Linked DNA regions of Ovis aries. The protein of the gene in region 4 interacts with the protein of the main gene of each other region in a biochemical or structural test. Links are inferred from orthologs where the notes say so. Each region holds a gene or a part of one and is shown on either strand. Other genes may lie near its edges. The genes, in order: RBM15, LUC7L, PRPF38A and SRPK2.

Region 1 (4,105 bases), on a different chromosome or scaffold from region 4:
CATGTATGGCTGTGAGAGTTGGACTGTGAAGAAAGCTGAGCTCCGAAGAATTGATGCTTTTGAACTGTGGTGTTGGAGAAGACTCTTGAGAGTCCCTTGGACTGCAAGGAGATCCAACCAGTCCATTCTGAAGATCAGCCCTGGGATTTCTTTGGAAGGAATGATGCTAAAGCTGAAACTCCAGTACTTTGGCCACCTCATGCGAAGAGTTGACTCAATGGAAAAGACTGATGCTGGGAGAGATTGGGGGCAGAAGGGGATGACAGAGGATGAGATGGCTGGATGGCATCACTGACTTGATGGACATGAGTTTGGGTAAATTCAGGGAGTTGGTGATGGACAGGGAGGCCTGGCATGCTGCGATTTATGGGGTCGCAAAGAGTCGGACATGACTGAGCGATTGAACTGAACTGAGTTTTCAGTCTCTAAAAGTTTCAAAGTTTAGGTTTCAGTTTGGGGGACCTAGTTACCTCAAAAGATGTCATGTTTAAAAACATGTCACATTGTCTCCTACAGATAGAATCTTGAGAGATGCAGTTGAAGAAAGGATCTATACAAGAATCCCCTTTCCTCTGCCCAGAGGACTTGAGGAGGAATGCATAAAAGCTTAGCCCTGTGATGAACTCAGCACTACCTCCCTTCATCGGATAGAAACACCAGCACCCCACACAAGAGCTTTACTGTCTGACACAATGAAGGTCTATGGAAAGAAATTTGGGTTAAAACGGCGAATGATTTTCAGAGTCAAAAGAGATGGACTTAGATAGCAAGGTGGCTGTTCTACCCTGTTCTGAAGGTGAGGGCACGTACAAGAAACCACAGGAAAAAACGCGACACATCTGCAGGCAGCAAAGTACATTCATTTCATTCGATTATTTACCAGGGAAGGTTGTTAACATATAAAAATCTAACGCAGCTATATTATCGGACAAAACCCGAAATCTACGTGAATTTGCAACATAAATCAGGAAGCCCAGACTCGTCCGTCGTGGCCCGAGTCCCCACCCTGCCTATAGGAGTCAAAACTGGAAGCTTCAGTCTCTCTTTTTCCTAGGTTACCCCAGGACACTCGGGCGGGAACGAATCGCACCGAGCAGTGCCGACTTCCAGCCTGGGCTAAGCACCAGCTCCAGAGCTGCGGGACCCCAAAGGCCTGAGCTCAGCTTACGACCCGACCCGCCCCCGGGCGTTAGTGTGACCCGGCCCTTCCTGAACTGTGAACCTGGCCCTACCGGCGCCGCGGGCCCCAGTGCGCTTTCTTGCGTACGGTGGGTGGGGCTTTTAAAGGCCGTTCACGCAAAGGCCAACGGCGCTAAGATGGTGTCCGCTGGGCGCCCCGGGACGGTTTCCTGAAGGATTCGCGGGCCCAGCGGTGGGAGGGAAGAGGCAGAAGCCCAGCGCCTGGTCCCACACAGGTAGGAGGTAGGACGCCTAGAAGTTCTGAGGTCCGAGGGCCAAACCCCAACCAAGTACGCCGTGGGAGCGAACAAATGTTGGAAAGGAAAACGCCGAACGCAGAAAGGCGGAACGGTCTCATGGTCACCATTTCGCGACGTCTAAGTGACGTCGCACAGCAAGCGCGTATTCTACTCTTTCACCTTCAGACAGCCTCCTCATTGTAAGAGCCTACGCCTTTAAGCGAGTGATGGACAGTTATTTCGGCCTATCAACTTCATCGTCAACATCCAATCAGATTTAAACTTCTTTCAGCCGCCGGAGGAGTTGGAAGAAAGGCATCGAAAGAGGGAGCTTTCTCTCTCTCGCGAGATCGCTGTGAGCCGGCCTCTCAGAAAAAAAAAAAATGCTAGAACATATGGCCTGACTTCCCAAATAGTAGGTTAAAGGACGGGGTCATAAACCAATGAAAGTTATGAGGAGGCGGGATCACTGCTTTCGCCCCGCAAGAAGTACCGTTAGAGGGCGGACTTTTTGTCCAATCAACGCCTCCAGACTTTGGGTCAGGTGACCATCGAGTGCAAGGGGCGGAGCTACAGTCTGGCGCGAGGAACCGTTAAGATGGACAACGAATATAACCAATGAGGTACTCTGACTAGGGCGTTGAGAACCCAATAACAGTGGTTGGGCGGGCGCCTTCCCGGAGCGCGGGGAGATGTAAAGACAGACAAATAGTTTTCCCAATGAGACTGTAGAAGAGCGGAGCTAATTGACCAATGAAGACTGCGGGGCGGGACCCTCTGCCGCGGCACAGTCCAAGATGGCGGCGTGCGGTTCCGCTGTGTGAAACCAGCGCGGGGCGGCGGGTTAGTCAGTTCCGCGGAGAAGATCTCCGACGCCCCGCTACCATGAAGGGAAAAGAGCGCTCTCCGGTCAAGCCGAAACGCTCCCGTGGTGGTGAGGATTCGACTTCCCGCGGGGAGCGGAGCAAGAAGTTAGGGGGCTCTGGTGGCAGCAATGGGAGCAGCAGCGGAAAGACCGACGGCGGCGGCGGGTCGCGGCGCAGCCTTCATCTGGACAAGTCTAGCAGCCGAGGTGGTAGCCGCGAGTACGACACCGGAGGGGGCAGCTCCAGTAGCCGCTTGCATAGTTACAGCTCCCCAAGCACCAAAAATTCCTCGGGCGGGGGCGAGTCGCGCAGCAGCTCCCGGGGTGGAGGCGGGGAGTCACGTTCCTCTGGGGCCGCCTCTTCGGCTCCTGGCGGCGGCGATGGCGGGGAATACAAGACACTGAAGATAAGCGAGTTGGGGTCCCAGCTGAGTGACGAAGCAGTGGAGGACGGATTGTTTCACGAGTTTAAACGCTTCGGTGATGTAAGTGTCAAAATCAGTCATCTCTCGGGTTCTGGCAGCGGGGATGAGCGAGTAGCCTTTGTGAACTTCCGGCGGCCAGAGGACGCGCGGGCGGCCAAGCATGCCAGAGGCCGCCTAGTGCTCTATGACCGGCCTCTGAAGATAGAAGCTGTGTATGTGAGCCGGCGCCGTAGCCGCTCCCCTTTAGACAAAGATTCCTATCCTCCTTCAGCCAGTGTGGTCGGGTCCTCTGTAGGTGGTCACCGGCACCCCCCTGGAGGAGGTGGTGGAGGCCAGAGATCACTTTCCCCTGGTGGTGCAGCCTTGGGATACAGAGACTACCGGTTGCAGCAGTTGGCCCTTGGCCGCCTGCCCCCTCCACCTCCGCCACCACTGCCCCGAGATCTGGAGAGAGAGCGAGACTACTCGTTCTATGAGAGAGTGCGCCCAGCCTACAGTCTTGAGCCAAGGGTGGGAACTGGAGCAGGTGCCGCTCCTTTCAGAGAAGTAGATGAGATCTCACCCGAGGATGACCAGCGAGCTAACCGGACGCTTTTCTTGGGCAACCTAGACATCACTGTGACAGAGAGTGATCTAAGAAGGGCTTTTGACCGTTTCGGAGTCATCACAGAGGTAGACATCAAGAGGCCTTCTCGGGGCCAGACCAGTACCTATGGCTTTCTCAAATTTGAAAATCTAGATATGTCTCACCGGGCCAAACTAGCGATGTCTGGCAAAATTATCATTCGGAATCCTATCAAAATTGGCTATGGCAAAGCTACACCGACCACCCGCCTTTGGGTAGGTGGCCTGGGTCCTTGGGTGCCTCTTGCTGCCCTGGCACGGGAGTTTGACCGGTTTGGCACCATACGCACCATTGACTACCGCAAAGGTGATAGTTGGGCATATATCCAGTACGAAAGCCTGGATGCAGCTCATGCTGCCTGGACCCATATGAGGGGCTTCCCACTTGGTGGCCCAGATCGTCGCCTTAGAGTAGACTTTGCAGACACAGAACATCGTTACCAGCAGCAATATCTGCAGCCTCTGCCGTTAACTCATTATGAACTGGTGACAGATGCTTTTGGACACCGGGCACCAGACCCTTTGAGGGGTGCTCGGGATAGGACACCACCCTTACTGTACAGAGATCGTGATAGGGACCTTTATCCTGACTCTGATTGGGTTCCACCCCCACCCCCAGTCCGTGAACGCAGCACTCGGACTGCAGCTACGGCTGTGCCTGCTTATGAGCCACTGGATAGCCTGGATCGCAGGCGGGATGGCTGGTCGTTGGACCGGGACAGAGGTGACCGAGATCTGCCCAGCAGCAGAGACCAACCTAGGAAGCGAAGGCT
Region 2 (2,802 bases), on a different chromosome or scaffold from region 4:
TGAGCACGGACAGTCATCCTCCCTCTGAAAAGTGAAAAAATGAAAGAGCTCCCAGTTGTATTGTCAGAATAGCTCACTTTAGTCTCAAGATACAAGCAGAAGGGCTGAGGGAGACTGGATAATACCACCAGCCCTGCCAAGGGTGAGCAGAGCCACGACTGACCCCAAAGGTAACGTGCCCTCCTCTGAGGACCTCGTGGCCGTCATGTCGACCTTTCTGTGGGTCTTTGCTCGGAGTAACTCCGAGACAGGGAACTGCAGCTTATCTGAGCTCCAGCACTGGGCGGAGGCTGCCGACCACAAACCAGACAGGCAGTCCTCCAAAGAAATGGGGGAAGAGAACAGCTTGGACCTCAGAAGGACACACGGGGCAGGGAGAGCATAATGCAGAGGGGAGCCCGAGGATGAGTCACATTTCTGGGCTGCGTGCAGGTGACCCGGGCGTGCCCCCCGCCCTGTGGAAGGCATGGCAAGCCCAGCGCAGCCAGGACAGCAGAGAACGCACGGCGGCCGCCGGGAGGCAGTCTGTCAGGTTGTTTATTCCCACTCGACATAACCCAGAGCACAGGAGCAACTCTGTACACCTCTAGAAACTTACAGCTAGCTCCAAAACAATAGAAATGTTAAACTACAAAAGATGAGCTGTATTCCGCAAATAGAAAGGGTGACGTGAGGCCGTGTCAAACGCGGATCGGACTATTTACAGCGCCTGGGCGTGGGCTCAGATCTCGCCGGCCTCCTTCTCCTCTGACCTCCGCGATGCAGCCTTCCCGTTGGCGCTCTCAAGCCTCCAGTCGGTGGCCCCCCGCTCACTCCGCCCGCGCTCCCAGGACTCCTCCCTGGAAGTCCGCTCTCGGGAGAACCTGGGGAAAGGGAACCAGAGGCTCATCGAGGGCTGGCCCTCCCTCCTGGGTGCTCCCCAGGCGCGGACACCGAGGACCCTCCATGCGAGGGAAGGGAAGACCCGCACAGCGGGGAGGGCCAAGCAGGAGCCGCACAGGGAGGGCCGGGCAGCTAACACAGAGTGGCGTTTTCAGAGGGCTCTAGTAACAGGGACAGCTTTCCCTAAAATGCAAACAGTGCAAAGGAAGATGCAGCACGAGCTGATCCATCATGTAAAAGCACAATGGAGGAAAAGCATTACCAAAGCGAGAGGTGGTCATCTCAGAACATGGCCATCAGTAGTGTCTTTTTTTAAATCACAACCTGGGTGAGCAGCCTATCAGGGCTGTGTGCACCACAGTGGCAGTGCGTGTGTAGCCCAAGCACAGCCTCGCCTACACGGGACACCTCTGCAGCTCTCAACTGTCCAGCCCTGAAGCCCCCTGCTGCCCCCAGCAGGTGGACTCCCAGAGCCCTGGGCCCCGTCAGGACCCTCAAGGCCTCAACGCTCAGTCCCTGGGTGACAGCCCCCAGGGCTTGGCGCACAGAGCAGGGCTCCACTCCTGCTGCAAATACTGAAGGAGCAGAGTAGTTACTTGTATTTCGAGCTCCGGTCCCTGGATGCCCGGCGATGGCCACGGCTGTGGCTCCGGGAGCGACTTCGGTGGCGCCGGTGTCTGTCCCGGGACCGGGAGCGGGACGACTTCCGCCGCTCTCTAGAAGTAGACCTCGACCGCCTGCGACGTCGGTCCCGGGAGCGCGACCTGCAACAGAGGCTGTGCTGACACCTTACTGCTGTATCTGCTCTCTCCTCCCAGACTTGTAACCCGGTTCACAATCGTCCCCTCAACGCCACCCTGGTCACAAATAACTGGCCAGACTCGCCCCACCAATGCTTCCGGAAACACGCCAGGAACTTTCTGATCATCCTTCTCACTGACAGTGAACGCCCACCCCACACTGCACTGCGCCCCAACCAGGGCTCTCTTTCTAACCCATGCCCTGTGCCCTTTGTGACCAGCCCTGACCCCAGACAACAAATGCCAAGTTATAAAGGCTAAGTATCAAGAAAAAAGCACATGGAAAAGGACATCTTACTGAGAATATATCAATGGAAAACCTACCTCCTGCGATCTCTTGTTCTTGATCCAGACCTAAAATGGAAAAAAAGATGAGCAATTTCCCAAAAACAGCCCAATTCCTTATAGCTGAGGGGAGGTGCCCCATGTCCACATGGTGACGAGGGTCAACTTCCCACAGGACCTGCTTTGAGGCCCGCCCAGGGGCCACCACCTGTTGGAGGGACAAGGAAGAGACCAGCACCCAGGGGTCCATGCTGCACTGAGCTGAACCAGTGGTTCTGCAAACTTCACAGCGGACACCAACCCAGCTACACAGACAGTCACAGTGCAGGGCTGGGCAGGACACCCAAGCTCCAAACACAGGCTCACTTTCCTGGGAGTGCTGCAGGAGCTCCCGGAAAACAGTACACAACCAGCAATGGAAGAAATGCACTTGAGGGACCTTCCCTGGTGGTCCAGTGGTTGAGAATCCACCCTGCAATGCAGGGGACATGAGTTCAATCCCTGGTCAGGGAACTAAGATCTCACATGCCATGGGGAAACTAAGACTGCATGCCACAACTACTGAGTCTACGTGCTCTGGAGCCCATGTGCCTGATACAAAGATTCCACATAAGAGGAAGACCCTCAGTTCAGTTCAGTCGCTCTGTCATGTCCAACTCCTTGCGACCCCATGAACTGCAGCACGCCAGGTCTCCCTGTCCATCACCGACTCCCGGAGTCCACCCAAACCCATGTCCATCGAGTGGGCGATGCCATCCAACCATCTCATCCTCTGTCATCCCCTTCTCCTGCCCCCAATCTCTCCCAGCATCAGAGTCTTTTCCAGTGAGCAACT
Region 3 (2,919 bases), on a different chromosome or scaffold from region 4:
AGTCTGACCAGTCATTTCCACAGCCCCTCCCCTCGCAGAGAACGGCATCGGAGCAAGAGTCCAAGACGTCATCGCAGCAGGTCCCGAGATAGACGGCACAGATCCCGCTCCAAGTCCCCAGGTATAGCATTAGGGCCTTTTGCTTGCTGTTGGTTGTCTCAATAAAGAAATGTAATAGGAGCAATTAGCCTCCTACAATACAGGAGTACCTTACTTTATTACTGCCTAGAAAAGGAAGTGGACATAGAATTTGAAAATTAGAGTTGACATTTTAACTGTCATTTGCCAGCTTTGTTGATAGGATGGTGAGCTTCAGTTTTCATCTGAAATTATAGGAGTAAGACATGACAGAGTAGTGGTAAATACCCAGTGTGGTGTTAGTGAAATTTAGCCATAAAGTCCTGAAGGCTAAGTGGGTTCAGTTCTTTGCTACCAACAAGGTGTCCCTATCACAAGCCAAAAATAAACTAGGGGAAATAACAGCAGAGAGTATGAGGATAGAAACTGGTACACTGAATAGTCTTTCTTCTTCTCCAGGTCATCACCGTAGTCACAGACACAGGAGCCACTCAAAATCTCCTGAAAGGTATGGATTAGCTTCTATTTTGACTTAAGAATTTAAGTCTTTACTCACAAATTAAAGTCCCAATTACAACTCAGTTAGACCTGAAATATTCTTGTGTTAGTGGATATAATCTCCACCAATACAGTTTAGGAATTCTCCTTAATTATAGGACAAAGTGGTCTCTTGCCCTGAAAATTACTAGAATTATATATACATGAAGTTATTTTTCTTGTAGGATTGCGGCTTTGGATAAAGGCATGAGCCTTAATCTCAGGAGACCTGGGGTTCCTTCCCAGCTTTTAAGATTTTTTAAAATGTATTTACTTCTGGCCACACTGGGCTTTCTTTGCTCCTGGGCCCTGTCTAGTTGTGGTGAACAAAGGCTACTCTCCAGCCACAGTATGTAGGCCTCTCACTGCAGTGACCCCTCCTATTGCAGAGCACAGGCCCTAGGGCTCATGGGCTTCGCAGCTGCAGTACACAGGCATAGCTGCCCCATAGCACGTGGGGTCTTCCTGGACCAAGGATTGAACCCGTGTCCCCTGCATTGGCAGGCAGATTCCTAACCACAGGACCACTAGGGAAGTCTCAGTCCCAATTTTTAATACTTAGCAGTTGAATGACATTGGATAAGTCATTTTCATTTGGTAAGCTTTCATTAGATACCTCTAGAAACTGTACACTGTTGGAAGCACTCGATCTCTCAGAGGTCATTTCTTCAATGATAAATTTGGAGAGTAATGCCTAACTCAGTGTTGCTCTTAAACATAAAACACCAAGTACCTTTAATGAATATTGACTGTCTTTGTCCCCCATCAGTGTTAGCACGTATCAGTCTTTCTCAAAAATCCTTCCTCAGCTCCTAAAACAGCTGGTAAATTTAATGATTTGTATGTGTCACCATTTCAGGTCTAAGAAAAGCCACAAGAAGAGCCGGAGAGGGAATGAGTAATGGACTCAGTTTGGTTTTAATACAAGTGGCCTTCTGTGGAGATGAAGGCATCTGTCTACGTGAAAGAAAGATCTACTCAGTCCCAGGCAGCTATGAGAGTATTTTAGATTTTTTTTAAACCACATTTTCTTCACTTTTTTTTAACATGGAAGAGGTGCTGAGTTTTGTATCTCTTTATGAATTGTACGTAATCCACACATTTGAAAGATAATGGTTCCTGAACTGAGAGCTGCTTTTGGCTTCTTTGTACAAACTTGTTTATACTCAAATTTATGAGGGTAGAATGGATTCAAATAGAGTGTATGAAACAAGGGGAGGATGTGGCCACCTTGTTATTTTTGTTATTAAACTTGACACACCCATTTCCTGTTTTTCTGTGGTTTTAGTTTTGGTTTACACTGAGATTTGAACTGTTTTGAGAATTCTGAGATATGTGCTGCTGTTCCATTAAAAAAAAACAAGTCGGTAAAATATATTAGCTCCAGGTTTTACTTCCAGCAGCAGCAAATGGTAATAAACATGAAAACTGACCTGTTATCAGCAGCTTTATAAGAATGAATTCAGTTGTAAGGCTTTTTCTGGATCATTTAATCCAGTTGCATTAAACGTTCAACAAACAGTAAAACTTGACACCTATTACATAGCATTATTGTATAGTGTTTCTTCTTCCCTACAGCCTTGAATTCCAAATTAAGGTGCTCAGCACCTTTATGCTATGAGCATTGATATTATCAAGACTAGCAGTAGCAGCAGGGCAACCAGGATGAAAACGTTCAATGGAGAGAAAAAATATCTAATGCCAGTCAGAGTTTTAACCTGAGTTACTGGACAACAGCACCATTCACAAAACCAGAAAATACAGCAGGAAGAAACCAGGTTTTAGAGGGGCAGGTAGTGAGAATTGTGGTAGTAGGGAGAAAAAAATGCATTCAGCTTAACTTGAAGTTTACTTTGAGACAGCCATGGTATATCTAGATAAAGCCCAGACATTATAAATAAGAACTGGAGTTGAGCTAGTGATCTAACCCTGAATTAACAATGTTTAGGTAATTGTAGGTGTAGAATTGAATGGAATGCCTAGGGAGCGTACATTTGTAAGGAAAACTAGTAGTAGAATCATAAGCAACACTCACTCTGTTGAGGAAGAAGGGCAAACACTGACTGAAAATTGAAATAATTGAATCATTTCAGAAAGGTAGAGGAAATGGGAGAGATGGGTTAAGGATGCTAAGGACAAAGAAGCAAAATAAGGATTAAATAGTGCCCATGGGTACTGATAATCAAGAGGGTGTTGGATCTTTGCTAGAGGAGTTCTGTCTACCTGTACTTACCTTTCCTCCTTTAAAATGGAAAAAAATAATTGACATTTCCTGCAGCTCTGCCCCTGGCAACAATTATGAAG
Region 4 (3,620 bases):
ATTTGAACTCTGTCTGCGTCGGCCACTTCTCTACAAAGGAGTGTATAGTAACAGGTTTCCTGTAGCCAACCTACAATCGTCAGCATGCTTCCTTGTCTCCATTGAGCATAGTTACATCAGTGTAACTGGTGCACTTAAAATTAGTTACAAGAACTTCAGGGTGAAAGAAGATCAACTGACTTGAGCATTGGTGTATGAAGTTTTATTTCTGGTTTTCACAAGGTGTCAAGGTGGCCATGAAGTGTGGATGATGCTTTCATCCTGTCTGCACGTGCTTTCTGCCCTAGTGTGTTGTCAGGTAGCACAGGGACTGCAGAGTGAAAGCCCTCAAACTGAGGCTTTTGGCAGATGAACCACTTATGAATCTTGTTTTCTACCATCAGGTTGCTGTTTAGATAATGGAACCATAGTCTGTGAAGCTTTTGACATTGGCCAAGTCTGTTCATGTCATTTCTAGACTATTTGTAGTAGTATTGGATCTATTTTAGTTGTATGAACTTGTGAAATAGTTTTCAAACAGAGATGTGGAAGTTAATTGTTCATTTCTTTGTCTATAAACAAGTTGGGTTTTGTCACTCTTCTCCATTTTTCTTACCAGTCAGTGTTTTGTGATTGTGTGTTTTTGAAATGAATAAGTGTTTAATTTCAGGTTAATAAGAGAAATGACTCCATGTGAACCACTATGGCTTTGCTTTTTAAGAGCCAATCATTTGTTTGAGTTGGATAAACTTTCTTTAGGACTCTATGATTAACAAGCTTTAATATTTAAAGCTGTTTAAAGTTGTTTAAGTTGCATAGCCATTAAAAGGCAGTAGTTATTTCATTTTACAGTTCAGATTACCTACAAAAAGATAAGTATCTGTTTCACTCTAAATGTTCACTTTATTTTGTTTTGTTTTTAGTGAGTACCGCTCCACAGCAAAAGCCTGTAAGTACTTACATATATACTTCTATTACCTCCTTGTCAAAAGTGACTAGTCATTACTGAACTTTTCTAATTGTAACATTAGTTTTTGTTTCTTTCTGCAACAACTTTTTTTTAAGGGTTGTTTGAGGGAATTAGTTTTACTTTTTTTGTTGTTGTTGTTCCTTTCTCAGTCATAGATGTTGTCATGTATTTTAGCGTAAAAGACAGCCATATTTATAAATGCTGCGTATACTTGAATATGCAAGACAATATTTTGAAAAAGTGAAGTGATTTTTAGAGGTGGGATAATTAGAGCTGTCCCAAATTCTGTATTTTCCTCGTGTACTTTCTGGAGTGCTGTTGGCTGAGTCTGATAAAATGTGAGGTTATAGAGATAGGGTTTTAAGTGTGATTATTCCACAGACACTTTCTATTATTTCTGATTTGCCTCTAAGTTACCTGTTTTTTCTGAAGCTGCTGTTCTAATTTTTTTCCAGCTAGTAGTTAAATGTGAAAGAGCATTATCTGTGTGGTCCTATCAAAATTCCAAGTGTGAACAAATGAAGCAGGCTGTTTGGAATTAAATTCTAGATCTAAACCTGGTTTAGGCTTGGTTCCAGTTAAGCATAGAATATATATATATCTCTCAAGTTGATGGGTCACCTGCAAGTTTTAAAGGTCTTTATGACCCGAAAGCCCTCGGAAGGAAATGTGCAGAACTCCAGAGTGCAGCCAGCAACCCTCAGCCTGCAGTGGGAGTCCCAGCAGGAGGAGGAGCTGTAAGAATTCTGCCGCCTGGCCTGCTGAGCTCTGCCGTGGCTTGAGCAGTTTGCTTTGATTATTGGTTCTGTGAAAGACTGGAGGATCCCATTGCCAGTACTTTCCAAGTCAGATGGCCATGACTGGAGGCAGACTGAAACCATGGCTTTGTCTTTTTTTCCCTTTACTTCATATGCTCATTTCTTACAGTTCCTGCTGTCTTGGCTGTTTTTAACAACTTGGTGTGTGAGACCCAAGCACAAACAGCGCTGTTGACCAAACACGAATGAAGTACACCTGTTTTGGCAGACAGTTGAGTAAGACAGTAAAGAGAGGGAACATTGTTAATACTTTGTAGACAGGTAGCAGCAAATGAAACTTGCAAGAGATGCTTCTTGTCTAAAGGCAGAAATGCCTTGGCATAGTTAGTTCGTAGAATTTAAAGGGAAAAGGCTTGCTGGGTTTACGCTGTATCTCTCCATTGGCAGGAGCTGGTAGTAGTCCCGCTACTTGATATCAGCACTGGTTTCTTTTTTTTCTGGCTTTGCTGCAATGTTAACCATATTGTGGATCTCATGTCTGGGCATGTGATTTTAATTGAATAGACCTGAGAAAACAGACTGTGTTGGTATTTGCCATGTTGCCAGCACTTAGATGCTGCTGCATAGTGCTTTAAAAAGAAGCAAACTAACCTGTGCTATTTTCTTAACATGTTGTAGATAGGAAAAATATCTAAAAACAAAAAGAAAAAAATGAAAAAGAAGCAGAAAAGGCAGGCTGAGTTACTGGAAAAGCGCTTGCAGGAAATAGAAGAATTGGAGCGAGAAGCTGAAAGAAAAATAATAGAGGAAAACGTCACGTCAGTTGTACCTTCCAATGAGCAAGATGATGAATACCACCCAGAGGTGAAGCTAAAAACAGCAGGACTGGAGGAGGTGGCCGAGGGAGAGACTGCGAATAACAACGGTCAGTGAGTGCTGGAGAGCCGGCTGCACCCCAGGGCCTCACGCAGGGCGACTTGGCGCTGCTGTGTTTCAGACCTGAGGGCATTCCAAGTCATCCCTGGAGAATGTGGGAGCTGTCTGATACTTGCTTTGTAAAATAGGCACCAGAAACATGTTTCAGAATAGTTTTTGTTTTCCAATGGAAAATGTCTGAGAAGCACCATGTCTTTATCATGTTAATGATTGTCCTTCATTTTGTAATTAAGCTTTGACTCATCAGTAATGTACCCTTAGACAATCTCTGAAGATTATAGAGGAGAGGGTAGAAAATGGAAATACAGCTCTATTTATGCTCATTTTCTCTAAGAGCTAGCTTTCTCTAATAAGAGTAGCCTAGTTATTTAGTAAATGAAAAATAAGATTTAGAGAACCTGGAGATTTACCCTGAGAGCCCAGAGGTGTTTGCTGTGTAGCGAGTGAAATTAGCATGTTCAAACATGTCTCTTGTTGGAGAGGATAAATGCCTAGTGCACTCTGTTAAGGAGAATGACAAGTTCTAATTCTCACCCTTCCACTTCTTAAGGGGAAGCTGAGGACCAGGAGGAGAAAGAAGACACTGAGAAAGAAAACACTGAGAAAGATGAAGACGATGTCGAACAGGAGCTTGCGAACATAGACCCTACCTGGATAGAATCACCGAAAACTAACGGCCATATTGAGAACGGCCCCTTCTTACTGGAGCAACAGCTGGATGATGAAGACGATGATGAGGAAGATTGCCCAAATCCTGAGGAATGTAACCTCGATGAGCCAAATGCAGAAAGCGATTACACATATAGCAGCTCCTATGAACAATTCAATGGTGAATTGCCAAATGGACGACATAAAATTCCCGAGTCACAGTTTCCAGAATTTTCCACATCATTGTTCTCTGGGCCCTTAGAACCTGTGGCTTGTGGCTCTGCACTTTCTGAGGGATCCCCCCTTACTGAGCATGAGGAAGGCAGTCC

What was found.
Region 1: of the proteins of SRPK2 (region 4) and RBM15, one has a biochemical effect on the other in vitro, tested with the Homo sapiens proteins (2 studies listed by BioGRID and IntAct). The link is inferred for Ovis aries from reciprocal best matches to the Homo sapiens genes SRPK2 and RBM15.
Region 2: of the proteins of SRPK2 (region 4) and LUC7L, one has a biochemical effect on the other in vitro, tested with the Homo sapiens proteins (2 studies listed by BioGRID and IntAct). The link is inferred for Ovis aries from reciprocal best matches to the Homo sapiens genes SRPK2 and LUC7L.
Region 3: of the proteins of SRPK2 (region 4) and PRPF38A, one has a biochemical effect on the other in vitro, tested with the Homo sapiens proteins (2 studies listed by BioGRID and IntAct). The link is inferred for Ovis aries from reciprocal best matches to the Homo sapiens genes SRPK2 and PRPF38A.

What each region holds. Positions count from the first base shown.
Region 1 is NC_056054.1:87,639,708-87,643,812, forward strand, and holds the start of RBM15 (RNA-binding protein 15), read left to right. Parts: upstream 1-1,283; 5' UTR 1,284-2,171; coding exon 2,172-4,105. UniProt on the Homo sapiens protein: RNA-binding protein that acts as a key regulator of N6-methyladenosine (m6A) methylation of RNAs, thereby regulating different processes, such as hematopoietic cell homeostasis, alternative splicing of mRNAs and X chromosome inactivation mediated by Xist RNA.
Region 2 is NC_056077.1:773,039-775,840, forward strand, and holds the end of LUC7L (putative RNA-binding protein Luc7-like 1), read right to left. Parts: intron 2,037-2,802; coding exon 2,007-2,036; intron 1,647-2,006; coding exon 1,479-1,646; intron 864-1,478; coding exon 722-863; 3' UTR 520-721; downstream 1-519. UniProt on the Homo sapiens protein: May bind to RNA via its Arg/Ser-rich domain.
Region 3 is NC_056054.1:26,821,510-26,824,428, forward strand, and holds part of PRPF38A (pre-mRNA-splicing factor 38A), read left to right. Parts: intron 1-23; coding exon 24-121; intron 122-537; coding exon 538-586; intron 587-1,474; coding exon 1,475-1,517; 3' UTR 1,518-2,919. UniProt on the Homo sapiens protein: Involved in pre-mRNA splicing as a component of the spliceosome.
Region 4 is NC_056057.1:47,825,045-47,828,664, reverse strand, and holds part of SRPK2 (SRSF protein kinase 2), read left to right. Parts: intron 1-902; coding exon 903-928; intron 929-2,385; coding exon 2,386-2,632; intron 2,633-3,193; coding exon 3,194-3,620. UniProt on the Homo sapiens protein: Serine/arginine-rich protein-specific kinase which specifically phosphorylates its substrates at serine residues located in regions rich in arginine/serine dipeptides, known as RS domains and is involved in the phosphorylation of SR splicing factors and the regulation of splicing.